Ovis aries: one gene and its partners. The protein of the gene in region 1 interacts with the protein of each later gene in a biochemical or structural test. Links are inferred from orthologs where the notes say so. Each region holds a gene or a part of one and is shown in the gene's direction. Other genes may lie near its edges. The genes, in order: CRK, BCAR1, ERBB2, MAP4K1, ABL2, ARHGAP32 and RAPGEF1.

Region 1 (4,108 bases):
TTAGCACTATGCCTGGCAGGTACTATTTCCTGAATAAATGTTAGCTGTTATTACGAAATGATTATGGAGTGCCTCCTACAGTAGATGCTTGGCCTTTGAGGTCTACCATGGCATACAGACTTGTAAATGAAAGATTACGGTACAGTGGTTAAGAACCATAATAAAGATAATAAGGAAATAGGGCTGTACATACAGAGAGGGAGTGATGTGATGGTCAGGAAAGGGGAGACTTTTGTCACTGAGATCCCAAAAGGAGTGGAGGGGCATTCCAGAGAGAAGAAACACAAGGTTCATGTAGAGGTGGTGAAGATGAGACGGTGGCTTGGTTGTATGCTGTGAGGTAAATGGGGAGTTCTAACACCTGGAGGTTGTTAAAAGTTTTATACAGAATAGCAGCTGACTCAGAGCTATAATTGAGAAAGTGCAAACTGGCAGATGTGTGCTATACAATTAAGGGCAGCAAGACTATAGAACACCAGTGAGCAGGCTGTCACAGGAATACAAAAATAGATATGGGATGTAAAGGTATAAATGGTCCTGACAGCAGGGAGAGCCGAGGCTACCCATGGCCACAGTTAGAGTTTAGAGAGTCTGGGTAGGTGTCTTGAGAGCCTAAACAGAGGGAACTCCATACTTCCACCTGGCTTGGCACACTCTGTCCCCTTTGTCTTGAATGCTCTTCCCTGATTGCCATTCAATATTCAGTGCAAGCCCTCCTGGATTCCCCTACAGAATGGATTAGGGGGCTCTGTTATGTGTTCCTAAAGCCCCTTGCCCCTTCCCCATCGTATCACTTGGCACGCCTTCTTCAAAGACTGTTTCCTGGTTTCTCCCACTGGTCTGCGAATTCGGTGAGGGAAGGGCTCGCCCTTGATGACCTTTGCACCCTCGGGGCAAATGTGGTGTCAACTGTTTGCTGAATGAATCAGTGAAAACAAGAACTTCAGCAGGCGTGGGGAGAAGCTGGAGGAACCATCAGAAAAAGACAATCTCAGGAAACACAGGCCCTGGGGCCACATCACCTTTTCTGCTCTAATTCTGTACCCTAGTCGCTGCCTAGAAGCCTGGGCCTTCCAGTAACTTGAAACCTGGAGGAGCAAAGAACCGCGTCGCCAACAGCCTACTGGTAGCTGAAGCCCCGCCCCTCGGTCCTGGACTCCCCCTCACCCTCTGCAGTCCCAGTCCCAGCCAGGCGGCGACGCCCAAGAGGCCGCATGCGCAGTGCGCTCACGATCTGTCACTTGCCCTTCTCCCAATGGCGGGCGGTGGTTCCCTTCCCGGCATCCTCCCGGGGGCCAGGAGCACGTCATTTCCGGTGGGGAAGGCCCGCGGCCGCCGCCGCCATTTCGGGCGCTGCTGTGAGGCTGAGACCCGAGCCGGTCCGCTGGGCGGCGGGGGCCGGGGCTGGAGGGGCGCGCGCGGCGGCGGCGGCGGCGGCCCAGCGTGTAGGCACGGAGGTGGCCATGGCGGGCAACTTCGACTCGGAGGAGCGGAGTAGCTGGTACTGGGGGCGGCTGAGTCGGCAGGAGGCGGTGGCGCTGTTGCAGGGCCAGCGGCACGGGGTGTTCCTGGTGCGGGACTCGAGCACTAGCCCCGGGGACTATGTGCTCAGCGTCTCCGAGAACTCGCGCGTCTCCCACTACATCATCAACAGCAGCGGCCCGCGCCCGCCGGTGCCACCGTCGCCCGCCCAGCCTCCGCCCGGTGAGGGACGGACGGGACGGGAGGCCCGGGGCGGGGGTGAGGGCCGCGGAACTCCCCAGCCTGGCTGGCTGCGCCTCGAGAGCTGACCCCCACGAGGGACGTGGGCAGAGGGCTGGAGTGAGCGTGGCCGGGGCGCAGCTTCTGCCGGGGCTCGCTCCCACGGACCAGCGCGAGTGTGTGGGGGAGGAGGAGCCGCTGACCCAGGCCTCTGGGTGTGACTTGGGAGGACAGCCCAGGGGAAGGGGAACTGCCTCGGCCCCAGGGTGGGGCTAGCGCCCGAGCACAGCCGGGCAACGTGGGGACAAAGAGCTGAGAAGGATGTTGGCACTGCGGGGCATCACTTGGCAGCGGTGCCGGGAATGAATCCGATAATCCTACAAGTGGCTTTTTAGGCTTGAAACATTTCCTGCAGTGTTGGAAAGCCGGGTTTGGCCATACTCCCCTGGTGGCCTTTGGTAGGAAGTCACCACATACTGGCCGAGAGGGATGGAGACACCCTCAGGAAACCGGTCAGCTTTTTCCTTTCTTGGGCATTTTTCCAAAATACTTTTACCTTCCTCTTCCCCCGCGGAGGATGAAGGTGGTGAGCTAAGTGCCTTGGTTATAGAAGAAAAGCCTCTGTGACCAACCCTGAATAAGCTGATGTCCGGCTGACTGTGTCCAAGAGAGCTGAGCTTCCAGAGACTGTTCTCCACAATGAGGGGGGTTATAGTTTTCAAAGCAATCAGTGGAGGAAAGATTTTTATTTTTATATTTCAGGAAATAATTCAGAAATAAGCCAGTGGAAACAGTCCCTTCCCTGAAAGTGAATGGAAGTTCATTTTTCCCTGGACTCGAACGTTATCAGTCTTGTTTGTCCTCCAGGGCCTCTCCTTGTTCAGTAAGTTGAGGGCTGTGGCTTGAGTCTTCTAGATGTTGAAAACAGATCCCACTGAAGTGACTCTCTTGAAAGTTTAAATGATCTGCACTGGATCTTCCTTGCTAAAGGTTGAGATATGACAGTCACCCAGGCCACTGGAGTTGTTAAGGGGATTTGTGCACTTGGTACTTGAGATTTGTGGTATACAGAGTAATTCTGAGGTTACAGTTATCTGTGTAACAGTACGGAGAGTCTTAGTGCCACCTCGCTGTTCCAGGTGGAAGCAGTTTAATCCTGACCACGTGAGACTAGATTCAGGCCAATCTCACCTGAATTAAGAGACTCCGGAACCAGCCTTTGCAGACTTGCTCTTTTAGGAGAGTCCTAATTTAGGGTTATTCTCTCTGACCAGAAATGAAATGGGATAATCTCTTGTTAACACATACCAATTAAAAAAGCGTAGGGATCATAAAGCTTACAAATTATTCTAGGTCTTTCTCAGCCTGGTTGGTTTAATAGCATTATAACATGAGGTGGGAATGTGTTTACTCTAAACCAAACATTTTCTACTTTTTACCACCTTCATGATGTCTGGGTTTTTGCATTACTGTGCAGTGACATGATGGCAGACAGTCACTGAAACTCAAGTTCCCAACCTTCTGTGTGTTTTGTTGGTTGAAAAATTTGGAAATAGCAGCAGGGGCTTTGCTGGTGGCTCAGATGGTAAAGAATCTGCCTGCAGTGCAGGAGAACCCAGGTTCAGTCCCTGGGTGGGGAAGATCCCTGGGAGAAGGAAATGGCAAACCAGTCCAGTATTCTTGCCTGGAGAATCCCATGGACTGAGGAGCCTGGCGGACTACAGTCCATGGGGTTGCAAAAGAGTTGGATGCGACCTAACACACAGCTTTGTTTGAGCTTTCCCCACGTCTTGGTGTTAATAACTTTAATCTCAGCTGTTACCTTAATGTTGAGCTCCACCTTTTCGTTAACAGATATGAATTCAGATCTTTGGCCCCAGAGAGAAGGTGAGGATTGCCAGAGTTTGTGGCTGGGGTGTGGAAAGTTCATGGGCATTGTGGTCCTTTTTGTTTCTGCCGTGTACCCTATTTTCTGCATAGGACAGTTGATTCAGTTGCTATCTTTGTAAAGATTACTTAATCTTTGTTCTCCCCCTCCCCCCATGAAGCTCTTTTCTTTTGAAGCCACACAGAAGAATTTCTTGAATTTTAGAGAGGCATATACAGTATTAATAGCTGCCATTTATTGACTGGTTATTCTGTGCCAGGCACTTTGCTGAGTACATTATATGCCTTGTCTCATTTACTGTCTATAACAGTCCAGTGAGGAAAGTACTATGACCTCCACTTATTAAACTATTTCCGTTTTATAGATGAGGAAACAGAGTCAGAGATACCGTAAAGTGCCGCAAAGTCACGCAGCTTGTAAGCAACTGAGCCAGAATTGCACCTAGGAATTGTGGCCTGAGAGCTGACACTGTTATACTGCACTGCTTTCTGTCAAAGCCAGTTTACTTTTGAGATCCCA
Region 2 (4,273 bases), on another chromosome or scaffold:
GGGTCTGAGTGGGGGCAGAGGTCCTGGGGCAGCACTAGGGAAGCTGGATTCAGTTCGGAGAAGGGGTAAATGGACAAGCTTCTTGTCCCCGGTGCGCTGGGGCCTCCTGCACACTGTGGCTTCTAGAACACGATGCGCTCCGGGCCTCCACTCCCCGCGTTACCCACGGAGACAGCTGCCGTCCCCGGATTCCCTGCCTTCCCCGGCGTCCTTGCCGTGTCTTCACGTTCTGGGGCTCTTGACACCACACGCCTGACCAGAGTCGGTGCGGTGGTAGTCGGAATCTCAGTTTTCTGCCAGCTGGGGCATACTCCTCCGGGTGCAGATCTGAGTCGGACTTGTTGGATGGACGCGTGTGAAATGACCCTCGCTGGCAGGCGGGGAAGGCTGGCGCCTCCGGGGCTGCCACGGCCGCAGAGCAGGAGGGCAATCCCGGCAGTCTTCCCGGAAGAGGAAGGCCACGGCCTTTGAGGAGGGGCGCGCTCGCCCTCGGTGGAGGGCAGGGACAGGCCTTCGGAGCGCGGGGCGGGCGGGTTCCCGGAGCCCCGCGCAGTCCCGGCCCTGGGGGCGGGGCCGGGGGCGGGCCCTGCTCGGCGCCCCGCCCCCGGCCCGGCGGGGCATTTGCATGGGGGCCCGCGTGGCCAATGGGTGCGCGCGGCCGGGCGCGACGGAGCGGGGCGCGGCGGCGGGCGGGGCGAGGAGGGCCGGCCCTGGGCGGCGGCAGTGGCCGGGCAGGCGCTGAGGCGGCCGCACCGGGGCGCGGGAGCCGCGCGGCCTCGGGGCGCTCGGGACCCCGCGAGCGCGCGGCGCGAGCGGTTCGCTGTGCGCCCCCGGGGGGAGCCCAGGCCCACCGGACACCATGAACTACCTGGTGAGCTCGGCCGGGGCGCGGTCCGCGCACCCGGGGCCGTCGGCCGAGGCCCCCCGGCCCTGCCCGCGCCCGGGCGGACCCGGCGGGCCCGGGCGGGGAGGGGTTAAGTGAGCGGCATTTCCTGCCGGACCCGCGGGTCCTGGGAACGGCCGCCGCGGGGGCGTGGGGCCGGGGTCCTGCGAACCCCCTCTGCCCGGCCCGGGCTCGCGAAGGCCGGGGCTGTGGGCGACCGCAGGCCCCGCGCGCCCGCGGGCTGCTGGAAGGACCGGGTTCGGGCGCCGCGGGCCGCAGGGAAGTTCCTGGATCCGGGAGAGTAGCTGGCCGGAGGCCCGCTCCCGCCTGCCGGCCGCGCCTGCCGGGTGACCTTGGGCCTGAGAGCCGGGTCTCCGAGCCCCCCCCTCCATCGCCCGGAGCAGCGACCCGGGGCCCCTTGGGCCGTGAATTTCCAGGAGGCGGGGTGGTGCTCCCTGTGTTTTGGGGGGACGGTTGCCCCTGCCCCAGGCTAGGGATCGAGGGCGCCGGGAGCAAGTGCGTGGTCTGCGGAGAAGTTAATAATTAACCTCGGTCGCCAGCGTTGGACTCCGGGATCCGGGGCGGGCTCCAGTTATGGCCTTCGTTCTCTGCAGAAGCGTTGTGGGAGCTGGACGGTGGACAGGCCAGTCCAACCCCACGCGGCGGTCCCATCCCGGTCCCTCGTCTGCGCTGGTGGAGCCTGCGAGCCGGGAGGGGCGCGGCCGCCACTCGGGTGGCCGCCACCTGGGCTTAGGTGCCCGGGTTGCTGCTGCGCTCGGCAGAGCCCCGGGTAGTGGTGATGGTTTCGGAGAAACTGAGGTTTGCCGAGGCCTGGGGGAGGTAGGGGAGCGTGAGAGATTAAAGTCCGGGGAGATGTTGGGGTCTCCCATCTCTAGCTGGTCTTGAGAACAGGGAGCTTGTTTTCTCCCCAGCCTTAAGACTCTCAGCTGGGAGGTCCTGTCCGGGTTTGCTGTGCCGGTTTCAGCCAGGCCCGGAGGTATTCCTCATCTCCCCCCACCCATGACCGTTTCCTTTCCAGGGTGGGGAGCTGATGCTGGTGTGGAGGGACGTGTCAGGGCTAACAGGCCTGGAAAAGCAGGAGAGGGGCCTGAGTGCAGGTGGAGCCTGATGGGAAGGGAGTCTGGGAGGAGCTGTTGGCAAGCCCTTCTGGCACTGGCACCCGCCACCCACTTGACCTCAGCGAGGGGAGAGTCCAGTGGGTGCAGGGTGGAGGCAGGCTAGGGCAGTCTCCAACTCTGCCAGGACGGTCAGCCTCAGCTCCAGAGAGCTGTACACTTGCGCTGCAGGCTTGCCCCGTCTGCCCAGGCTTGGGCAGGAACTGAAGTGAGGGCAGTGCCCTGGGGGTCCTGCCCGAGTGAGAGAGGCCACTGCTCCCTCCAGGTGCAGATGGGGGCACTGAGGCCAGAGAGGGACGTTACTGTCCTCAGAGCTGACCCAGGGCGTAGTCTCCTGGTGTGGCCCAGCTCGTCCATGTGCTCCCCTCACTCTGGGACTGGGGGGACTGCCAGCTCCGTGGGGTCTCTCACTGGCTCCCACACTGTGCCTTAGTGGCCCCCACCTGTCATTCTTTTAGGGGTCCCAGCGCCCGTTTTCTCTCAGCCTGGAGAGCTCTCCTCCGTCCCCCAGGAGCCCACAGCTGGCTGGGGCAGCTAGAACCAGCCAGCAGGTGGAAGGGGGTGGGGACAGTGCTTGGCGGGCACTGGGTCATTCTCCGGGAAGACACTGTCCAAGTTCCTCCTCTCTGGGCCCTGAAGGCCCCAAGTACGGAGCTCCAGGGTGGTCTCCCTCCAGGGGGCGGGCGGGAGAGCCCCTGACTTGACCTGCTCCCATCTCTGCCTGGGGAGAGGGACGAAGTACTGGCTGGCCTGGAACGGGCTCAGGGTGGAGGAGCTGGGCCCCGTCTCAGACCCCTTTTCCAGCACGCACCCTAGACACCAGGGCTCGGGACCTTTTTTGAGCTGGAGAACTGTGCTCTTTGTACCAGTGTGTCTCCCTCCTCCTGCTGAAGCAGGTGGTGCTGCTTTAAGGGCTGCTGAGGGTTACCATTTAGGACTGGAGAGGGGGCTTTGAACGCCGAGGTGGGGAAACCAAGGCGTTGTAAGGAACAACGCCTCTGCCGCCCCACCTGGGCTGTGCCTCTGTCTCTGCCCCTCCAGTGGCAAACCTGGGGGGTGGCCGTGGTGGCTTCCCAGGGCCTGATGCTGTCCGTGAACTCAAGGTCAGCCTGTGCTGGCCTCTGCCAAGAAGCCAAATCCTGAGACTGAACAGGCCAGACTGTCCCAGCGAGTCTGGGGTCTGGGTCAGTTCCCTGGGCGGGTGGCAGTGGTGCGGAGCTCAGGGTGCGAGGACCACTCCCAGCTGTCAGCAGGTAGGTGGGCTCTGGGACAGTGGGCTCTGCTCTCGTCCCTCCCCAGGGGCTCCTCAGTGCCCGGGGCCAGGCCCGCCTCTCCCCACCATCTGGTGTGCTAGAGGCTGCAGGCCATGTTTGCGGCTCGAGGACCCTCCCTGCCCAGCCGCCAGGGTCCGTGCCTGGGCTCCCTGCCCACGGCCTTCTTCCCGCCCAGGACCTGAATGCGGAGGCTCTTGCTCTTGCCACTGCTAACCAAGGCCGGGTCAGGGCTCCTGCTGGCCATGACCCCCCACAGCTGGGTTTCCAGTCTGTGTCTGTGGGCCTGTTCTGGCTGCTGGGGTCAGGGCCTGGGGCTGAAGACCCACACCCAGCCCCTGCTCTGCGTCTGGGGCTCGGGCACTGCCCAGTAGGCGGGGAAGGGGGCATGCCTGCCTTGTCCCCGCGCGTGGCTCTGGCGCAGGGTCTCACCCGTGCTCCTCACGCTGGGCACTGAAGACCTGAGCCCAGTCCCTGAACTCTCAGCTGTCCTGGGTGACACCAAGGCCAGCTGTTCCGGAGTTCTGTCCGAGATGAGGGTGTGGGGACCCCTGGAAAGGTGAGGGGCTGCCCTCCTGAACCCCCCAGCCCGGAGCAGAGCGGGGGCTTGCCAGGGCCCTGGGCACGGGGCAGCCCTCCTGGGGGCGTCCCAGGGCACAAGTGAGCTGTGGGTGTGGGCTGCGGCGGGGGCACACACACGCTTTGGCTGTATCCGCTGGCCACAGGGTCTCCTTGGGACAAGCAAACAGAATACCCCAGAAATAATCTTGGCCCACATTTGAGACGGCCGTGTATGAAGAGAACCAGTGTTTGCCGAGTGAGTGCCGTGTGTGGGGCTCTGTGCTCGCGGCCTGGGTGTGTGTCAGGCAGGGATGGGGGGGTGAGCAAGGCCTGTGAACTTTACGCCCTGGATTTCGTGGACCTGACCAGTGCCCTGGGGCCTCCTGGCTGCACTTTGCCACACAGCTCAGGGCCCCTCTGCC
Region 3 (3,500 bases), about 17 Mb from region 1:
AATAACTTGCCATATTTTCCCTCCAGTTTATATGTGCACATGCTAACATGTATTATTATATAATATATAAAATATGTTTATATATTATTTTTATTCTCCAATTCTTATCTGTGCACATTCTAGTCTATATTTCTTTTTACAAAAATAGGAGCATAGACCATACCTATTGTTTGCCAATTGCTTTTTCTCACGTAACACTGCAGTTTTTCTTGCAATGCTTTTTCATGTGCTAATATAGTGATCCGCCCTGCTCTTTTTATTTTTTTACTTAGTTGTTTTTGATAACACGTGGAACACGTGCATACATTCTTGTAAGACATATTTTTAGCAGTATCAAAGTAAACAGTGTAAAGCAGAAGTGCCCTTTCTCCCACTGCCCCTCCCCTCCCTGGAGAGAACTACCAGGTCACTCTGGAATGTGCATTCCTCCAGGCTTTTCTGCACATATTTACATAAGTGCATTTTACGTATATGTTACGTTGAGTCATATAAGATTGCTGTTTTTAGAAGTCAAAAATGATCAAGAAACAACAGTTTCATCTAGCTCATCTATTTCTCAGCAATTTATTTGACTCATATACACTTTGCTCCCCCACACCTTCCCCCCTTTATGTATCTTGGAGGTCCTTTCCTGTGAATGCATATCAATCTAACTCCTTTTTTTTTTAACTACTCAATCTGCAGTATGGATGTAGAGTTATTTAGTTGTGTCCCTGCCTGAGAGTACTGACTGAACTTGTTTCCTTTTTTCTCTTTTTGGCAGTTTATTGCACTTGAGCTCCACGTACAAGTGAGCATCTTGTACATGCCCCCTAGTGTACAGGTGTTGGCATTTTCAGGGTTTATCCCCAGAGGTGGAACCGCTGGGAGGACAGGAGGAACTGCGGGAGTTTGCCCGACTACAGTAGTAGTTTACGCTGGCTTCCTCTACAGAGGAGATGGCTAAGCTCTTGAACCCGATGCTCCTTTGGGTGCCACCACTTCCTTCCCACCACAGGGAGGTGCAAATGATATGGGTTTACAGACTGGAGGACTCCCCCGTGGGATGGTAGAAAGAGCCCTGGTGACCTCGAACCCAGTTTCTGCCTTTGTCAAGTGGGGATCCTAACCCAGTCACACCCACCTCCTGGGATCCTGTGAGGCTGGAGTGAGTGCAGGAGGTGGTTCCCAGCCTTGTTGACGGGACTCTCTCTCTCCTGCAGCTGTGTGGACTTGGATGACAAGGGCTGTCCCGCCGAGCAGAGAGCCAGGTCAGCCTGGTCCCCAGAATGCACCCCACATTGCCCTCAGTTCCCCACTGACCCCTGGGTGGTCCCTGCTGCTAGGTGTCATGTCCTGACATGACACGTGTCCTCCCCAGCCCACTCTTCCACTGTGGATGCTTCTTTCAGTTAGCTTCAACTAGGGGATGGAGGGGCTTCCCAGGTGGTGCAGGGGTCAATTGGCCTGCTAGTGCAGGAGACACAAGAGACTGGGGTTCAATCTCTGGGCTGCGAACATCCCCTGGAGTAAGAAATAACGACCTACTCCAGTATTCTTGCCTCGGAAATCCCATGGACAGAGAGGCCTGGCTGGCTACACTCAACGGGGTTGCAGAGAGGTGGACACAACTGGGAGGCTCAGCACATATGCACACACACATGCAGTGGGTGGAAGGCCTGCTCGGCTTGCTTGGGGGTCAGGGGGTAGGAAGACACCCAGCACCTCCCCACCCTCCCTGTATAGCTGGGGGTCTCATAAGGGACACAGGCAGCCTTCAACTCCCTGGGACTCGAGGCACGTTGAGAAGAGAGCATGGCTGCAGCACTGAGGGAGAGACAGTGAATACTTCCCTGGGGTCAGTGGGAGGCTTCAGGCACATGAGCTAGGTTTTGAAAGAGGGGCGCGAAATGTCACTTGTATTAGGAAAGCAACCAGGCAGCATGGTAAGAGGTGTCCAGAAAGTCTAGGATGTATTTGCTGAAGATTCTGCTGTGGTGGGTAACTGACTAAGCACAGAGGAAGGAGTAGGGGGTGAAGTCTGAGTCAGTTCAGGGCCGGATCTGGAGGGCATAGGCTCTCCCCTACCATGAGGCCACAGGCCCTGTGATGTCCATCACTACCATCGCTGGACTTGATTTCTAGGCAGAGGGGTGTTTTGGGAAGGGTTTTAGGGAGAAAAAGATCGGAGTGTGTCCTGAGTAAGCATTTGTCCATGACATAAGGGTCCATTTGAGGTCTGTGATAAGCCAGCCCTTGGCTAAGCAAGGGAGGGGAACAAGGATGACAAGGATGTAGGGTCAGTGCCCAGGAGATCCTTCTATCCTAGGATAAGCAGAGTCTTGAAAGATGACCTCATGCAGAAATGGTGATCCAGGCAGAAGTATTATAACAACGGCTGGGAGATTTGGAAATCGTGACCTATGGGTGAAAATTCTGGCTAGAACATCAGAATCTCTGTGTGCACCTTCCTGGGCCCCACCTCATACCACAGTCAAAGTCTCTGGAGGGTGGAGCTCCGTACTCTCACAGGTTGACAAGAACCCTGGGCTAGAGCCATGGGCAAGAGCATAGACAACTTGGAGATGTAGGTGTAGAGGGTTTTGAATCTTAGCAAGGAGTCTGGACTTTATTTCCCAGACAGTAAGGAGCCAAGATGGATTTTAGAGTAGGTCAGACAGGATGGGAGCCTGTGGGTCACCCTTCTGACTTCCCTTTCCAAATGCCAGTGACAGTCAGCCCCCTCTCCCTCCTCCCCCCACCCCACCGCGCCCCACCGTGGGACCCCTTCATCCCCCCTGCCCCAGACTGGTCCCCAATCCATGATCCTGGCTCCTGCCCCCAGCCCTGTGACATCCATCATTGCCGCTGTGGTGGGCGTTCTGCTGGTTGTCCTTGTGGGGCTGGTGTTCGGCATCCTCATTAAGCGAAGGCGGCAGAAGATCCGGAAGTATACAATGCGGCGGCTGCTGCAGGAGACGGAGGTGAGGCGACCTGAGGGTCTCTCTCGAGCTCTGGGGTCTGCGGCCCAACCTGCAGCACTGACCCACTACCCCCTCACCCCAGCTGGTGGAGCCCCTGACGCCCAGCGGAGCGATGCCCAATCAGGCTCAGATGCGGATCTTAAAAGAGACAGAGCTGAGGAAAGTGAAGGTGCTAGGATCTGGAGCTTTTGGCACCGTCTACAAGGTCAGGGGTGGGGCCAAAGTCCCCGGGTGGGCGGTCCTAGAGGATGCTGCAGGGTGTGGCGGAGGGTGTGCTGGGACAACAGCCAGGAACCGCGGGTGGTGCAGTTGAGTAGGCACTTAAGGATAGGGGATTGGGAGTGGCCAGTGGGTCTAAATGGTGAGGCTGCTGCTAAATAATGGGATTGGCCCAAGGGTTGGGGAGGGAATTGGGAGCACAAGCAGTGACCCCAAGTAGGACGGCTGCAGGTTGATCTGGCCGGTCCTTTTGCTCACATCCTCCTCTCTGCCCAGGGCATCTGGATCCCCGATGGGGAAAATGTGAAAATCCCCGTG
Region 4 (4,228 bases), on another chromosome or scaffold:
GAAAAATCCCACCCCTGGGCAAGCCCAGGATGCTGACCACCTCTTGCTGACCCCAGAAAACCCTCTCCTCCACGCTGGCCAGAAACGCTCCCTCCGACCGGGCTCAGACCTGTCGATCCCCTTGAGCAACTTGCCCACGTTCGCTCTCATCTGCTCAAACATCGCCATGACTGCTGCCGCCTCCCACACCAGGCCTAAGGCCGAAGACCCTGCCGGCAAAGCGTCCTCGAGGACCGGAAGAGGAAGAGTTGGTGGAAACGGAAACTACGTAATTGTTTTCTCTCCAGCCCCGCGGTGAATCGTGCTTTGGGTCTAGCTGCGGCTGCCACGCTTTCCGGCTGCCGCGTGACTTCTTCCCAGCCGGCGCAGTTAGCGCGTGCGCATACGCTCTACTCGAGCAGAAGCTACGGCGCGAGAAAAGACCTAGTCTAACCAAGTGCGCAGGCGCCTTCTCGCGGCGAGGGGGCGGGACTAAGCTTTTCCCGGGCCTCGCGTATCCAGTTATAGACCCTGGCGCGTGAGCGCGGACTTAGCGGGAAGTAGACTGATCCGTGACGGCGTGCACGGGCTGTGAACTCAAAACTGCTGGGGTTCCATCAGTACAATCCTTTTGGTCCATGGGCATGTGCCGAAGAAGGTGCCCTCTGAGGTCCCCTTGGCCTCTGAGGAAGGATCCTGAGCTTCGCAGTTTTAAGTCGTGAACCTGGTCCCCCACACTTCACCCTAACGCCGAGGGTAGTGGCCCGCAAAGCTGTTGTGCTCAGCTCGGCAGGGGCGGAGAGAGGGGCTCGTGGACCCCGCTAGATCACGCCCAGTCCCCATAGCTCCAGTTCTGTGGGTGAAGGCGAGCGCTCCGCATGTGGCATCCCTAGTTGTGTGTTCAGATACTGCCCACTGCAAGCATGACTGAACATGCATGTGTCATATGTGTATATGCTCTGGGTATATCCACATACGTGCACACGGGTATCCAGGAGTGTGCACGGCGACTGGCCTGCGCGCCGCACGGGGAGTTACCACTAAGTGCCTGTATGTGTCCCGGGTGAACAATGATGTACATACACTACATGGTCATCCCGGTGTAGACCTGCCATCTCCAGGTTGTGGCCCAACACTCAGCGTTCAGCAGAGGTTCAAATGTTTTTAGCCACTGCCCATAACGGGGGAGGGTGAGGGCACCCTCCAGGTCACAATGAAGATAGTTTGCATCTGGTTTACATGCAGCCCAGGGCCCCGGAGGTGGAGGGGGGAGTCCCCTGGGTCCCAAGGCAAGCTGCCCCTCACAGGCTGTCAGGGCCCAGGGGACAGGGGGTGGAGCCGCTGGCTGCACAGCTCTGTGCCGGGGCAGGAAGCGAGAGTGGGGAGGGGGGAGGCCACAGCCGGTGGAGGCAAGGCGGGTGCAGGGCGTGTGGGGAGGGAGGGAGGTGCCAGCATTCGGAGCCCTGAGGCCCTGCTGGCCCCTGGGCGCAGGCCCAGCTCCGGCCCCCAGGAATGGACCTCGTAGACCCTGACATCTTTAACAGGGACCCCCGGGACCACTATGACCTGCTGCAGCGGCTGGGTGGCGGCACCTATGGGGAAGTTTTCAAGGTGAGGAACCCCCCTCCTTCTCCAACACTCTCAAACCTGTGACCTTGGGGGTGAGCCCCAAGAAGGGATGGGGATGTGAGAGGGTCCCAGTCCTCAGCTTGGCTTCAGGGATGCTGAGGAAGACCTCGGGCAAATGGAGCCTGCCTGACTGCCAACTTCCCCTTTACAAGGCTCGAGAGAAGGGGACAGGGGACCTGGTGGCACTGAAGATGGTGAAGATGGAGCCTGGTGAGGAGAGCACCCAGGTCCTCATTCCCCTGCCCCACCTCCTGGGACCCTGGGATCTCCCCCATACTCCATCCCTGCAGTAGCCTTTTCTCTTCTGCCCCTCCTCGCAGACGATGATGTTTCCACCCTTCAGAAGGAAATCCTCATCTTGAAAACTTGTCGGCACGCCAACATCGTGGCCTACCATGGGAGTTATCTCTGGTGATGAGACCTCCCCTGCCCCCCAGCCCAGCCCCCAACTCCCATTCCTGACCAGCACCCGCCTCCAACCTAACCTCTAATCCCAGACCTCCATTTTTAACTGAGGCTCCTAACTTAATCCCCAGCCCGAAGTCCCACTTGTTTGACCAGAGCACCTCCAAACCTCATCTCCAATAAATAACTAGCATTTCTCACTAAATTGATCCCTTTGTGGTAACCAAATGTGAAACCAAGTCCCTCTAAAACTGATCATCGTCCTGACTTGCAGGTCCCCCAGTTTCACTTTCTGTTCCTTTAACATGAACCCCTAATTTCCCTGACCCTTGAATATCCCAGATGCCCCAAGAATGATCTCTGCCCCCCGGCCCTGGCATCCTGGGCTCCTCTGTCCCCTCTGAACTTCCACAACCTGTGAAGTCTCTGCCCTGTCTCCTAGGTTAGCATGGGACAACAGAGAACGTCATGGTAGGAGCCCAGGCACCTGGGTTTGGTCCAGTTGACCCTAAACATATATTTTCTTCTTTGAGCCTCAATCTCCCCATCTGTAAAATGGGATGATCTCACTCTGGTAGACAATAGAGAGATGACACCTCTTACATTCAAGTTCTTGTTGAACTAGGATAGGATGGACAGTGAGCCAGAAACTGTCCTATAAATAATGATTTATTACTGCTATTATTATTCTTGCTCTTGAACTGTTGTAGGCTGCAGAAACTCTGGATCTGCATGGAATTCTGTGGGGCTGGTTCTCTCCAGGACATCTACCAAGGTGAGTGGCAGGGCGAGGAGATCCAGGCAGCCCTTGGCCCTCCAATCCACCTGTCCTGTCCCTCTATCCTTGCGTCTCCGGGGACTGTCTTTCTGGTCTGTATTTCACACAGAGCCCCTCCTCTGGACCAGGCCTGGCCTGGAAGATGCTGGGGAGACTGTGGTACCCAAGCGGGCCCTGAACCCTGTATCCTTCAGGACCTGAGAGTCCAGCTCTATTTTTTCTGCAACGATCCCGACTTTCCCTGCCCCATCTTCCCCCTGTGCCTGCATTTTCTCACCAAGGTCTATTCATGCCTTTGAGTATTTCTGCATTTCTAGCTCATCGTCAGGGCCCATCTGTTCATTTAATGAGTGAATGCATTTCTGATTCACTCAGCCTGCTTTTCACTGTCTTGGAGCACTGGAGGGTGGGGGCGGGGTGGGCCTTGATCAGATTTCTGATGTGCACCTCTATCTTTGACCATCTCCCAGTCTCCCAGTCTCCCTCCAGCCCTAGACCTCAAAGGTCAGGAAAGGAAGGACTTCATGAAGAAGTCCTCAGGGCGGGTGGGGGAAACTGAGGCCCACAGAGAGGAAGTGACTCACCCCACCAGCCCGTCAGACCAAGTCTCTGACCCCCTCAGTCTGCTGTCTCTCTCTGGTGTATTCTCACCCCTTTGTGTCTTTCTCAATGTGTCTCTTTTCCCAGTTTGGGGTGTCTCTGCCCATGTCTGTCTCTCTCTGCCTCAGCTTGGGTCTGTTCCTGATTCTCTATCTCTTCCCGTCTCTCTCTGCCTTTCCTTGTTCTACAGAGTGACATCACTCAGAGCTGTCCCATGCCCTCCATCCCCTCCCCCCCCCCAAAGCGAAGCCCAAGTTTCTCAACACTGCCCCTGAGTCTGACCCCCGCTGACAATCCCAGGCTGGCGCCCTCTCCCTGCTCCACCCACGCCTCTGCTTTCCAGCCCCACCAGGGACACTCCCCTGCTTCTGGGCCTTTGCACTTGCCTTTCCCTTTCCGAGGGGGACTGCTCCCCATCTCCACCCCCGCCGCCTTCTCGGGGTCGCCTTCACTGATCAACCTGTATGAAATGTCATACTCCTTCCCACACATATTTCCCACACATATTTCCTGTTATCTTTTCTTGCTTAATTTTTCTTCTCACTATTTATTGGCATCTCGTGTATCATGTATCTTACCTGTTTATCTTGTCTGCCATCCGTCTCCTGTGCTAGAGCGTTCTCTCCACGGGGGCAGGGATCTCTGCCTCTTTTGTCCACAGCTGTATCCCTGCTGCCTGCCACAGTGGCTGGCACACAGTAGACATGCAGCAAATAATCACGTTGAATGAATCTCTCTGGTTCCCTGCATCACTGCCTCTCTCTGTTGCTGACTGCCTCTCTGCCTCCTCCTCCCACCTGTCCCATCCCAGTTCTCCCCTCCCTGTGTGGTACCCTC
Region 5 (4,273 bases), on another chromosome or scaffold:
AAACCAATTCTGTCTCTATGATCACCTTTATCCCTTATCAGTGATTTCTTTTTTTGTTTTGCAAACACTTTGGGAATTAAAAGGAAAAAAGTATTTAAACACAGGAAAACTTTGATCCAAATGAAAAACTCATATTGTATCCAGTGCAAAAGCAGTGTTTCTTTTGCCATTTGGTGGGCAATTTCAGTTATTTCTGGTGATATCCTGGATGGCAATGGAATAATTTCATAGAGCTTTTATTGTAGTGAATATTAATGGTTCATCTTTCATCCTGTTCTTGGAAAGATGTGCAAAGAAGAGCTCATCCACCTTTTCTCCTGGACCTTATCTTCCCAATGGTTGTTTTGTTGGTTTTTGCAATGGCACATATACTCTGCTTTCAAGCAAATTTTTATTAAGGTAACTCCAATAACTGATACTTTTAATAAAGGACATAGGGAAGCTAATTGAATACCTAAAAATAATTATCAAGTTCTTTAAAATGTAAAAAACTGAATATTAAGATGCAAGAGTGAGCAGTGAGGGGGAGATAAGTGAATATACAAATGTATGTCTGCGTGCCTGCGCTTTAAAAACATTTTTCTGCCTGAGTCACTCTCTTTAGATAATACAGGCAAAATATAAGTAAGTTCTGACTCAGAAACAGGGTCAAAGGTAATTTTATTTTTCTCCTTTGTCATCAAAAGAAGACTTGACCGCGTGCACTGTATATAAAGCATGCCGGTGTGAAGATTAGCTTTACTGACAAGCGAAGTAACGGTAACAGAAACACATACGTGGTCAGATGGTAAAGAAGTTCAAGAGGACTTCATGATAATATAAGAGGAGGAATCGGGTTATAACTGCTTCCCCAATGAGATTGTAAATTACAGACAACCAAGGTGAGTGCAATTTCCCATCATGAAATAATTTCAAAAAATTACAATGAAATAGTGTACTTTATTATGTTCACGTAAACCTTATATCATTTAATTTTGACTGTATGTCTGCTGCTGACACGGATGTTTAAAGGAATCCTCCAGGGTATTTTAGACAGCCTCACCTGGATAGCAAGCACCAAACTTCTTGTGCTTTTCCGTCCCAGCTGAGTCGGCTAAAGAACTGTGCACCTGGGGCGCTCAGCGCAACTGATTGATTTGACAGGTGGAGGAGTGACAGGGAAACCTTTAAACCGACCGACCCCCCAAAAGGCGGTAAGCGCGTTGAACCGAACTTGGGAGGGGTCGGCTAAGGCGGATTCGGACGTGGGAGGCCGAGCCGCCGCGAAGGAACAGAAGGACCTGAAGCAGCTGTAGACGTGCCAAAGAGGTGGGTACCTGGGGTGGTGGCGGGGGTGGCCCCACCCTGAGAGGAGGCGGGGGCGCGCGGGAGGGGCGGGGCCGCCGGGAAGCCCGCCCTCTGAGTAGCGGAGATGACTGGTCGGGTTGCGGGCAGGAGACGCTCTGTCCCACGCTCTCCCAGTGCTCGGTGGTTTAAAGATGGCGGCGGCGGCAGTAGCGGCAGCATTGGGGGCGCGGAGCCGCGGGATGGGAAGGGAAAAGGAGAACCTGTGAGGCGTCGGGAGGCGGCGCGGCGCCTGCTGTGAGGAGTCGGGTGCGGAGCCGCAGGCGGCCGGACCGCTCAGGGCCGGGGCCTGGGTTGGGAAGGAGAGGCCGGAGCAGCGCCTGGAACCCCGAGGCCGGAGCCGAGGAGGAATGTGACCAGGGGTCGTCGGGGGCGCGGGAGTAAGCGAGCGCAGGGATGGGGCAGCAGGTGGGCCGCGTCGGGGAGGCTCCGGGGCTTCAGCAGTCGCAACCCCGCGGGATCCGGGGCAGCAGCGCAGCCAGGCCCTCCGGTCGCAGGCGGGACTTGGTGGGGCGTACCGCAGAGGCCGGCTTCAATATCTTCACCCAGCATGGTGAGTGTGTCCGGGAGCCGGCGTGAGGACGTGGGGGAGGCCGGAGGTGGAGTTGGGGCGGGGTGGGAGGCAGACAGGCAGCCCTAGGGGGTCGAGCGGGTGGAGGGGTGCCCGAGAGTGGGGGCGGAATCGGCTGCCATCTGGGCCAGTCACGGGAGGCGAGTCACACCCCTCCCCCTTCCCGTCTCCAGCCTGGCTGGCAGCTCCCGGGGGCGGAGGAGGAAAGAGAAGTGGTCTTAGGGATCTTGGATGGACTGTCGTCTACACTGGACACGACTGTGCGGCTCGCGGGGGACGGTGCATGGTATCCTCAGGGGAGAGGAGACTGAGGGAGGTGTGAGCTTAATCCAGGTGTTAGCATAAATCGCTTGTTATCGAAGGGACCGTGAATTGTGCCTCGAGGGGTTGGTAAATAGGAACTGAATCTCAGGACGTAGTGTCCTGTGAAGTAGACGAACAAGCCAGGCAATGAGCGGTGTTAGGATAGTGAACAGTGCTCTGAAATCCCCTTCTATGGGAAAGGTAAGGATAGTAACTCAGCATTTGAATTTTTTTTTTTTCCCCAAAGTGGAAATTAAGGGTTTTGCCAGACCATCCTCTGTTCTGCTCCTTTTGAAGTGAAAGTGAAGTGGCTCAGTGGTGTCCGACTCTTTGCGACCCTATGGACTGTAGCCTACCAGGCTTCTCAGTCCATGGGATTTTCCAGGCAAGAGTACTGGAGTAGGTTGCCATTTCCTTCTCCAGGGGATCTTCCCGACCCAGGGATCGAACCCGGGTCTCCCACATTTGTAGGCAGATGCTTTACTCTCTGAGCCACCAGGGAAGCCCTTGGTGGGGCTTTTGAGTAGGACACAATTCTGAAATGGCTGGCAGGGGTTTGATGATGGTGGGCATAGTTAGGACTTTGGGTAGGAACAAGTTTTTCTGCCAATCATGTGTACATGTATACAAACATATATCCTCTCTATGGTCTGGAACCTATTACTTTGGCCTCATATAAAGGTATTTTTAAGTGGTCGCCAACTCCAGTTTTTAATATCTCTTGATCATACAATACTCCAAGAATTTATGTATAATATACTTGTCCTACTATACTAATGTGTAATGTACAGATGTACACAGAAGCAGAATTTAAGAAAGGATGAGATGAAAAAATAAATATAACGAGTTCTAATATATTATTTCCTGCAGTCCAGGGAAGAATGGACTTTTTGGTACTCTTCTTAGCTGCACCCACACCTTTTGAGGTCATTTGTCTAAAGGAAGAAGGGAAAAAAAAAACTGACCTTCATGGAGTTGAGATACCCTAAAATCTGAGGGAGGCTGAAGAAATAGATGTGACTTCTATATAAAGGACTGGATAGTTGAGGTTGGCTGAGCAGCAGCAAACTGGACTTTCACTGAAGAGGCATAAGGAAAATAGAAAAGAGGGTGTTCTTTTCTGCTTAGTGTAGGGAAGAAGAGGAAGGAAATGTGAACTGTTCCTTAGAAATGGAGTTTTGGAGGAAGTTAAGACAAATGGTCTTATGCAGAGAAAGAGATGGTGAGTTGTATCAGAGTTCTGGGTTTGGACTTTGTGAACAAGCTGAGTTTCTTAATGGAAGAGAGAGAGGTGATTTGGGCCATTCGAGTGTTATATGTCTACTATTAAAGATGCTAGTGAGCCTCTCTTCCAGAGATATGAACATTTTATGAAGGTGCCATATAAGTTAGTCTTTATTGAAATCACTTCCTGCATTGCAGGAGGAAAGAATGGGTAAATAGTTTTCAGGGAAGAAATTATCTAAGTAGCTTTGCATTATGGAAGGTGTTCAGTTCAGTTCAGTCGCTCAGTCATGTCCGACTCTTTGTGACCCCGTGAATCACAGCACGCCAGGCCTCCCTGTCCATCACCATCTCTCGGAGTTCACTCAGACTCACGTCCATCAAGTCCGTGATGCCATCCAGCCATCTCATCCTCGGTCGTCCCCTTCTCCTCCTGCCCACAATCCCTCCCAGCATCAGAGTCTTTTCCAATGAGTCAACTCTTCTCATGAGGTGGCCAAAGTACTGGAGTTTCAGCTTTAGCATCATTCCTTCCAAAGAAATCCCAGGGTTGATCTCCTTCAGAATGGACTGGTTGGATCTCCTTGCAGTCCAAAGGACTCTCAAGAGTCTTCTCCAACACCACAGTTCAAAAGCATCAATTCTTCGGCGCTCAGCCTTCTTCACAGTGTTAGTATGTATTAAACTTCGCCTGGTAGGCAGTGGTGATCCTCTTTGTTTAGTCTCTATTCAAGACCTAAGATTTTCTGAGGAGGCGGAGGTCATGAAGAAGGGAATAGGAAGAGATTTTGAAGGGTGGATAGAATTTGGATCTATGGAGCAAGAAAAAGG
Region 6 (3,500 bases), on another chromosome or scaffold:
GAAGACCAATCTGTGAAGACCAGTGTGCCGACCGTCTCCTTTGTGGACCACGATCAGCTCCATTTCTACAGTGGAGATGAGCCTCCTTCTTACCTTGGTGCAAGCGTGGATAAGCCCCATCACCCTTCAGAACTTGCAGACAGAAGTCCTGCCCCTTCTCATTTGCCTAGGGACAAGATCTGCCCTCCTTCCGGGTCCCCTGAAGAGAACACCAGCACAGCCCCCCTGGCGTACATGATGCATGCTCCAGCAGCGGCCATAGCAAGCGCCAGCGAAGCCAGCTGGGACGTGGCAGAACAGCCCAGCGCAGTGGAGTATGTAACCGCCACCCTTCAGCGTGCTCAACGAGCCAGCCGTCCCCTACCCCTACCTCCTTCCCAGAGACCCGCAGAGCAGCCCCCGGTCCTGGGGCAGGTACAGACTACAGCCAGTATAGGACTAACCAATCCCCACAAGGTAAGAAGCGGGGCAGGCCAGTGGCATGCAGTGTTTCTCCAAAGGTGTGCCACTCTCCATCAGCGTGTGACGTTGCCGCGAGTGAGATCTGACATCTCTTTTTAAGTCCTAGGCCGATTTCTGTGAAACACTTCCTGGTTGAGATGGGGATCTGCCTTTATCTTGATGCTGGCTTTTCTCTGAAAAAGGAGCTGCTTCTCCATGGCTGTGGTTTAACTATAACCCTCTCCCTTTACAAAGAGATTATGAGCGCAGGAGTCCACCTGGCCATTGGCTGTCAGAGTTGTGGGGTTTTTCCCGGCTCCCTCACTGACTCAGTGTGACTCTGGGCAAGCTGTCCAACCATCTCTGCCAGTTTTTCACGTCTGCACGGCCAAAGTGCTGTAGTCTCAGGACACTTGGAAGACTTTATGTCTTACCAACTTTCTCGAAATATCAGAGATGACAGTGTCTTAGGACTTTTTGTTTTTTCAGCATTAGCCAGCAGATTGTTGAACAGTCAAGCACCTGTTTTGATGAGAGAATGTTGTATGCAGACTGTGAAGGTTTTTTGTTGTCACCTTGGACTAAAAGGACTTCACTATCTAGTCCTCTATGGAAGATGCTATTTCCAGCCACTTGTTTCTCAAGGGCAGCGTGTGCAGCCTTGCAGTGAGAACCATGTTTGTCTTCTGCTGCCACAGACACACTGGAGCGGGAGGGAGAGGCGGAGGCTGTGTTGAATGCCACCTGGACATGTCCCTTCTTGTTCCTCCCTGTCCTGGGGGCTGAAAACTGCCCACTGGGCAGTGGGTATCACTTCAAAACACTCTTCAGGTAGAATCAGCACTGCTTGTGTAACAGAATGTTCTTGGTGTTGAGACTGAGCTGCACGGATAGACCGGGTACGTGGTTTCAAGCCTAGTGATCTTTTAAGCAAATCATATCTGTCATGGTGCACCCCATCTCTTGAAAACCCATCCTAAAAGAGAACAGCTCTCCAAAGATGGGCTGGCTGCCACACCAGGTGGCCACAGAGGCCTGCCTTCTTTTCCTGACTGTAGGGACAGGTAGGCCTCTGCCCTGTCCAGCACCTCTGCACAGCTTGGGAAATTTCCAGCTGCTGCCCACATGGCCGCAGCTTGTGAGTTATGAATTCAGTAATGTTTGATTCCGTAGAGGGAAGCATAAAAAAACACTCACAGTACTGTCATCTTTCAACAGGTTCAAGGAGCAGTTCCGGTTCCGGAGAGGCCGTCTGAACCCAGGGGCCTGGGTGACCCTGCACCTGTCCTGGTTGGGGATGGCGGGGCCGCTGCGCAGTGCCCAACCTCCGCTCCAGCTCCTCAGCCCGTCCTTCCTGAAAAGGTGCGGGAAGGTGCCAGGGCGCCCGCGCTGCACCTGCGCGCCGAGTCTGTGCCCGCGCACGCCTCCTGTGGCTTCCCCACCCCGGCGCCCCCCGCCAGGACCATGGAGAGCAGACTGGCCGCGGCCCTCCACTCGGGCAGCGCCGACGGGGCGGGCGGCGCCGGGTACCACTCCTTCGTTGCCGCTGCCTCCGCGGAAGAAACCTTGCCTTTGCCCCTCCCTGTCCCACAAGCCAAGCACGGCCCTCTTAAGACTGCTTACCCCACGTTCGCCAGGCCTGACCTCACCACGGAGCCCTTCGGTCCAGAAAACTGTCTGCATTTCAGTATGACCCCAAACTGCCAGTTCCGCCCCCAGAGCGTGCCACCCCATCACGGGAAAGCGGAGCCGCACTCAGTGTATGCGTCCAGGTCGGAGCCACCAGCCTCCACGGGCCCCCGGTACAACACGTACGTGGCCCCCGGGAGAAGCGTGTCTGGACACCAACCGAAGCCGTGTAGCCGGGCAGAGTACGTGTCCTCACTGAGCTCGTCCGTCAGGGGTGGCTGCTACCCCGAGGACATGCCGCCGTACCCCACCATCCGCCGGGTGCAGTCTCTGCACGCGCCTCCGTCCTCCATGATCCGCTCTGTCCCCATCTCCAGGACAGAGGTGCCCCCAGATGAGGAGCCCGCCTACTGCCCACGACCCCTGTACCAGTATAAGCCATATCAGTCATCCCAGGCCCGCTCGGACTACCACGTCACTCAGCTGCAGCCTTACTTCGAGAACGGCCGGGTGCACTACCGGTACAGCCCCTACGCCAGCTCGGCCAGTTCCTACTACAGCCCCGACGGCGCTCTGTGTGACGTGGACGCCTACGGCACGGTGCAGCTGCGGCCCCTGCACCGCCTGCCGGGCCGCGACCTGGCCTTCCTCGCCCCGCGGCTGCAAGGCAAGAATGTGTACGCGTTCGCCGGGGGTGCGGCCCCGCGCGCCCGGCCCAGCGTGGCCAGCTACTTCCCGGCCAATGACCACAGCATGGTCCACATGCCCCCGGTGGCCGACGCGAAGCACGCGTACGCCTCGTGGGATCTGGAGGACCTGGAGAAGTACCGCCTGCAGTCCATCCGCAGGGAGAGCCGTGCGCGGCAGAAGGCCAAGGGGCCTGTCGTGTCCCAGTATGACAACATGAGCCCGGCCGGCGCGCCGGATGACCTGGGCAGCATCTATGTCATCCACCTGCGCAGCAAGTCGGATCCTGGGAAAACTGGACTCCTCTCCGTGGCTGAGGGCAAGGAGGGGCGGCACCTGGCCAAGGCCCTGAGCCCCGAGGGGGAGGACCGCTTCTACCGGAAGCACGCGGAGCCGGAGCTGGAGCGCGTGCCCCACCACCAGGGCGGGTACGGCAACGGGCAGCCGGAGAAGCCGTGCCTCCCCCAGAAGCAGAGCAGCGTCAGGAACCGCAAGCTGCACGACGCGGGCTGCAGCCTCCCCGAGCACAGGCCGCATCAGGAAGCAAGCCATAGGCAGCTGTGCGACCCGAAGAATGGGCCCCCTTTCCCCCAGGGAGCCGGCCCGCTAGACTACGGGCCCAAAGGGCTTCCAGACCCTGCCGAGCCTGTCAGCTACCTTAACTCTGGAGGGAAATACGTGCCGTCAGGGCCGGAGTCTTTAAGACCGAGCCACAAAGAGGTGCGGCTCCCCAAGGAGCTAGA
Region 7 (4,186 bases), on another chromosome or scaffold:
GGAAGAAATGAGGTCAGACATATCTGGCACTGAACACTTGCCTAAGGAAAATTATTACAGTTTGGGGAAGGAAACTGAGAGCCCTTCAGAGTGTGTCAGAAGGGTGGGGCGGTCACTGATGGTGACGGGGATGGAGTGCTGGGTGTGCTGTGGGTGTTTGACCCGTGGCTGGGTGTCGGCGGCCCCTCCGGGTGGCTGGAGCTCGGGTCTGCGCTCTTTCCCGGTTCGTGGCTGTGGTTTGACTGGAAGGAGCGCTCCATGCGCAGTGTTGGGGTGGCAGGAAAGTGGAACAGACACATGCTGTTGGCTTTGAGAAGTCTGGACTCGCAGGCCGCGATTGTGTGAAAATGACTTCTGTGTCGGTAGATGGGAATCAGAAACCTCAGGCTCCTGTGGAGATCGGGATGTGGCTTCTTCGGTTCTGCGTACGCCGGCAGGATTCTCTTGCCCCCTTGGAGGGGGCCGTGGCGGGGGTGGCGCCCTGGCTGTGGTGCAGCACGCTGAGCAGTGGAAGCCCCAGTGCACCGAGTGCCTTTTAGACCCTGTCTCTTCGGCTCCGTGGGCTTTTTTTGTCTTTAAATTTTACGCTGGCTCCCCCATCCTACCCTCCAGTCCCTTTGATTGTGTGCCTTTGGCCAAATTGGCTGAAGCCAGGTATCTGCTTTCCGAGCTACTGTGGTTTCAAACTTGATGGTGGTAACGATTTCCTGAGGGGACTCCCAAGTGTCTGTCTTATTTGGTCCTCATCGCAGCCGAGGAGGTGGGACTACGGCATTCTGCACAGCTGACGGATGGGGAAACTGACACTGCTGTGCTCGGTGGGCAGGCCAGAATCTGGCCCCGGATGTAGGGCCTCAGTCTCCCCACTGCCTGCGCTCCAGAGATTCCTGAAGAGCTTTTCTACCCTCAGGTTCTAGGATCTCAGTCAGTGAAATCTTTCCGTGTACCTTGACATTTTCTTTTCTTTAATTTTTTCCCCCACAAAAAAAAGTGTATGATTTCATGCCCTTTCTTCCAGGAAATCTGTTGTTCAGAATTTAGGTGGTGCAGCATTGTCTCCAGAAATGTTAATTCCAACGTAGACTGTGTGACTGGAGCTTGAGGCTGCACACTCCCATTTGCCCTCCGAGCTCTTCTTGGGAAACTGAAGTGCAGCTTGCATTTTGATGTTTGCTTACTTTTCCCCTTGGAAACAACAGTCTTAATGAAGTCAGTTTGTTTTCACCGATGGAACTTGTCCCGTATGCACACTGGTCTAAGGGCTAGAACCTTAAAAAGAAGGTGTGACCCTGGGGTCTCTGTGACAGTGTTTCTTGTGGCACGCCCCCAAACTGGTCTATTTTTAGCTTTCAGCTTCTTGATCATGTGATTTCCCACTCCTCCCCCAAGGAAAAGCAGCGATGATGGGGTTTGGAAATGAAGTTCAATCTCCGAGGCTGCTGCTGTGCCGATGAGGATTGGAGTGTCAGGAAAGCCGAGGAGGAGCTCCTAGAATAGACGGGTCCGGGGACCCACCGCTGGGGCGGTAACAAGCCTTGTATTCTGATTTCCTCCCTGGAAGTGAAGAGAGTTGGACAGGCAGGAGGCAAAGACCTTTCAGAGCAGAGTTCAAGTTTTTCTTGCACGGGCTTGCCACTGGGTGATGGGGATGTCTGAGAGATGAATCCCGTCCAGCTGGTGACTTGGTCTGTGTTTGCTCTTCAGCAAAGACACTTGGGCTTGGAAGGGCTCTGTGATCCTCTGGCTTAATTTAGAATGGGCAATGCTATTGAAAAACAGAAGCCCCTGAAACGAAGCCACCTGTGTCCCTGGAAACCAGGTAAGAAGACCCTGCACTTCGTCCCCAGGAAGAAGGGCTTCGGCCGCTGTCTGTTGGGACGCTACGGTGTAAGACCAGACCTGAGCCTGCGGGCCAGACCATGCTTCCAGTTCAGCATGGTCTGAAGACAGTCAACAGACAGTTCTGCTAAGGAATGAAATGATTCGCAGCTCTGTGATGGCCTGACTTGGCTGAGAACTTTAGTTCAGTTTGAGATTTTTTTTATTTAGTGCAGCGCATGTCGCTGGGTTGAAATTTTTCAGTTTTAAAAAATATCCCAAAGAAAAATTTTGATATCCAGGAGTTTGCATTTTTAGTGACAGTTTGGTTTAGAGAATGTTAATAATAGCTTTTAATTATATAGCCCCTTTCTTCCTAAGAGTTCAAAGTACCTCCTATTTAAAAAAAACAACAACCACCTTGTATTTGTCTATCCTCGATGTCCATGATACAGGACAGCAGCACCTATTACCACCTCCTCCATGTCACTCGCGCTTTTGTTAGCGTTAGCTCTGAGAAGGAAGAAGTCAGAGGGACCACCCAGCAGTGTGCTGTGGTGTGCCTAAAACTGGAGGTCCTCCCTTGAGCAGGGTCCCAGGGCACTTGCTGCCCTATTTCACTGTTATTAACCTAGCAGACTAGCAGTTCGCAGACCCAGCAGGCACCCAAATACCAAAGATAGTGCCCTGGATAGTATGGACTCTTTTATCTCCACTTGCCAAAAAAGAAGGGAGGTAGCACCTGACCTGTAGCAAGACAGTTTGATCATAAGTGTGTGCACAGGTGTGTGTTTATGAACAGAAAAAATAAACTTGGAGAAACCACATGGAAATGTCAGTAAGAGTTGTCTTTTGTGGTCAGGTTATAGACAGTTGGTTTTTTTTTTTTTTTTTTTTTCCTTCTTGAGAAAAGTCAGTGGGATGCTAACTTAACCATTACCCCTCTAAGTTTCCATCAGTCAATGAGCTAGTTTGGAAAAGGTGCTCCTTTCTGCTCCTTTATCAAATCCTGCTTTGAATTAAAAAATGATGAAAGACATTTGAGGGACAGACCAGGAAATTTGAATATGAACTGGGTGGTAGATGGTGTTTGGAAACTGTTGCTAAAACCATTGTGTGGTGGTGGTAATGAGTCATGTAGGAGAATGTCCATTTTGGTATCATCATGGTGAAGTATTTAGGAGGAAAGGGTTATACTGGCTATAATTTTACTCTAAAATGGTTCAGGTGAGTGAGTGAACACTTGCATTTAGGTAAGAAAAACAGGATCATTTTAACAACGTTAGAATCCAGGTAATGAATATGTGAGATTTGCTATATTTTCTTTAATGTATTTTACTCACTTGGGGGAGAGAAACATTAAAAAAAAAAAGCAGTTGCTTTTTATGTCATAATACTTTGTCCTTCAAAAGAATGACTCTCGCAGACACGGGTATTTGCATGTGGGCTGGGATGCAACACTCTCTCTCACTGACGTGTGGGCTGGTATCTCCAGTTACTGAGAAGAAAAGCCGCCTGATCCAATGACACAAATCACCAATGTTATAACAGGAATTCAACATTTTACTTACTTTCAAGTTGTCTCTGGTTTTCCTTAGGAAAATGTATGAATGAAAGCTTCCTGATATTTCCAGTGGTAGCAGCTGGGTTTACAGACAAAAATGAAAGCTGTTGTGTTGTGTTGTTTACTTGTGTTCAGAAATGTAAATGAGAGGGGCTGATGGCAGGGATTTCAGAATCCACAGTGAACTGGGGGTAAAAAGAGCAATTAACTGCCGCTGATTTCTTGGTCTTCACAGATCCTTTGGACCAGGGGCACGTCTCTGCCAGTGTAGGGATTTGGTTTGTGCACAAGAGACCTCGTACCTAGTTTATTCTCCGATCCAACATCTGTGGACGCTCTGCCAAGGACCCACAGTAACAGGGGTGTGGAGTTTATCTGTTCTTCACAGTTTGTCAGTAAAGGCTGTTGATGTTTTGAAACAGTAATTTCAGAACAGTGTTCAGGAGTGATTTCGTGAATCCCCAGCACCACCCTGAGCCTGATGTGAAGTCCAGGCTCAGCACGAACATGAAATCACAGGGACTGACTTGATGGCTCCAGGCTGGAGGGCATGTGGCGTGGAATCAGTGCCTTGCTTTAGGGGCAAGTGAAGCTGGGTCTTGGCCTCACGTGTGGTTGCTGCAGGCAGCTGCCACGGCCCCTCTGACTGCTGTCCAGCCTGTCTGTTGGCCTGCCATGGCAGACTTTAACCTGAGCCAGACGGTCGCGATTAGGAAGGTCAGATCCAGAATAAATTCTGAAGGGACATTGAAAGGAAATCATTATCTACCTTTTAGACCATCTATGTTTCTGCTCCCATGTTGT

The links.
Region 2: the proteins of CRK (region 1) and BCAR1 form a complex in vitro, tested with the Homo sapiens proteins (2 studies listed by BioGRID, with this or other methods). The link is inferred for Ovis aries from reciprocal best matches to the Homo sapiens genes CRK and BCAR1.
Region 3: the proteins of CRK (region 1) and ERBB2 form a complex in vitro, tested with the Homo sapiens proteins (2 studies listed by BioGRID and IntAct, with this or other methods). The link is inferred for Ovis aries from reciprocal best matches to the Homo sapiens genes CRK and ERBB2.
Region 4: the proteins of CRK (region 1) and MAP4K1 form a complex in vitro, tested with the Homo sapiens proteins (2 studies listed by BioGRID). The link is inferred for Ovis aries from reciprocal best matches to the Homo sapiens genes CRK and MAP4K1.
Region 5: of the proteins of CRK (region 1) and ABL2, one has a biochemical effect on the other in vitro, tested with the Homo sapiens proteins (2 studies listed by BioGRID and IntAct, with this or other methods). The link is inferred for Ovis aries from reciprocal best matches to the Homo sapiens genes CRK and ABL2.
Region 6: the proteins of CRK (region 1) and ARHGAP32 form a complex in vitro, tested with the Homo sapiens proteins (2 studies listed by BioGRID and IntAct, with this or other methods). The link is inferred for Ovis aries from reciprocal best matches to the Homo sapiens genes CRK and ARHGAP32.
Region 7: the proteins of CRK (region 1) and RAPGEF1 form a complex in vitro, tested with the Homo sapiens proteins (4 studies listed by BioGRID, with this or other methods). The link is inferred for Ovis aries from reciprocal best matches to the Homo sapiens genes CRK and RAPGEF1.

What each region holds. Positions count from the first base shown.
Region 1 is NC_056064.1:22,477,842-22,481,949, reverse strand, and holds the start of CRK (adapter molecule crk), read left to right. Parts: upstream 1-1,308; 5' UTR 1,309-1,463; coding exon 1,464-1,704; intron 1,705-4,108. UniProt on the Homo sapiens protein: Involved in cell branching and adhesion mediated by BCAR1-CRK-RAPGEF1 signaling and activation of RAP1.
Region 2 is NC_056067.1:2,077,621-2,081,893, reverse strand, and holds the start of BCAR1 (breast cancer anti-estrogen resistance protein 1), read left to right. Parts: upstream 1-1,473; 5' UTR 1,474-1,477; coding exon 1,478-1,702; intron 1,703-4,273. UniProt on the Homo sapiens protein: Docking protein which plays a central coordinating role for tyrosine kinase-based signaling related to cell adhesion. Implicated in induction of cell migration and cell branching. Involved in the BCAR3-mediated inhibition of TGFB signaling.
Region 3 is NC_056064.1:39,833,076-39,836,575, forward strand, and holds part of ERBB2 (receptor tyrosine-protein kinase erbB-2), read left to right. Parts: intron 1-763; coding exon 764-790; intron 791-1,202; coding exon 1,203-1,250; intron 1,251-2,824; coding exon 2,825-2,963; intron 2,964-3,045; coding exon 3,046-3,168; intron 3,169-3,458; coding exon 3,459-3,500. UniProt on the Homo sapiens protein: Protein tyrosine kinase that is part of several cell surface receptor complexes, but that apparently needs a coreceptor for ligand binding. Essential component of a neuregulin-receptor complex, although neuregulins do not interact with it alone.
Region 4 is NC_056067.1:47,753,613-47,757,840, reverse strand, and holds the start of MAP4K1 (mitogen-activated protein kinase kinase kinase kinase 1), read left to right. Parts: upstream 1-1,428; 5' UTR 1,429-1,491; coding exon 1,492-1,590; intron 1,591-1,760; coding exon 1,761-1,818; intron 1,819-1,928; coding exon 1,929-2,019; intron 2,020-2,723; coding exon 2,724-2,788; intron 2,789-4,228. Other genes in the region: EIF3K (eukaryotic translation initiation factor 3 subunit K), read right to left, coding at 110-168. UniProt on the Homo sapiens protein: Serine/threonine-protein kinase, which plays a role in the response to environmental stress. Appears to act upstream of the JUN N-terminal pathway.
Region 5 is NC_056065.1:59,964,231-59,968,503, reverse strand, and holds the start of ABL2 (tyrosine-protein kinase ABL2), read left to right. Parts: upstream 1-1,473; 5' UTR 1,474-1,740; coding exon 1,741-1,897; intron 1,898-4,273. UniProt on the Homo sapiens protein: Non-receptor tyrosine-protein kinase that plays an ABL1-overlapping role in key processes linked to cell growth and survival such as cytoskeleton remodeling in response to extracellular stimuli, cell motility and adhesion and receptor endocytosis.
Region 6 is NC_056074.1:29,778,103-29,781,602, reverse strand, and holds part of ARHGAP32 (rho GTPase-activating protein 32), read left to right. Parts: coding exon 1-456; intron 457-1,659; coding exon 1,660-3,500. UniProt on the Homo sapiens protein: GTPase-activating protein (GAP) promoting GTP hydrolysis on RHOA, CDC42 and RAC1 small GTPases. May be involved in the differentiation of neuronal cells during the formation of neurite extensions.
Region 7 is NC_056056.1:5,109,500-5,113,685, forward strand, and holds the start of RAPGEF1 (rap guanine nucleotide exchange factor 1), read left to right. Parts: upstream 1-1,386; 5' UTR 1,387-1,755; coding exon 1,756-1,819; exon of another isoform or gene 1,820-4,186. UniProt on the Homo sapiens protein: Guanine nucleotide-releasing protein that binds to SH3 domain of CRK and GRB2/ASH. Transduces signals from CRK to activate RAS. Involved in cell branching and adhesion mediated by BCAR1-CRK-RAPGEF1 signaling and activation of RAP1.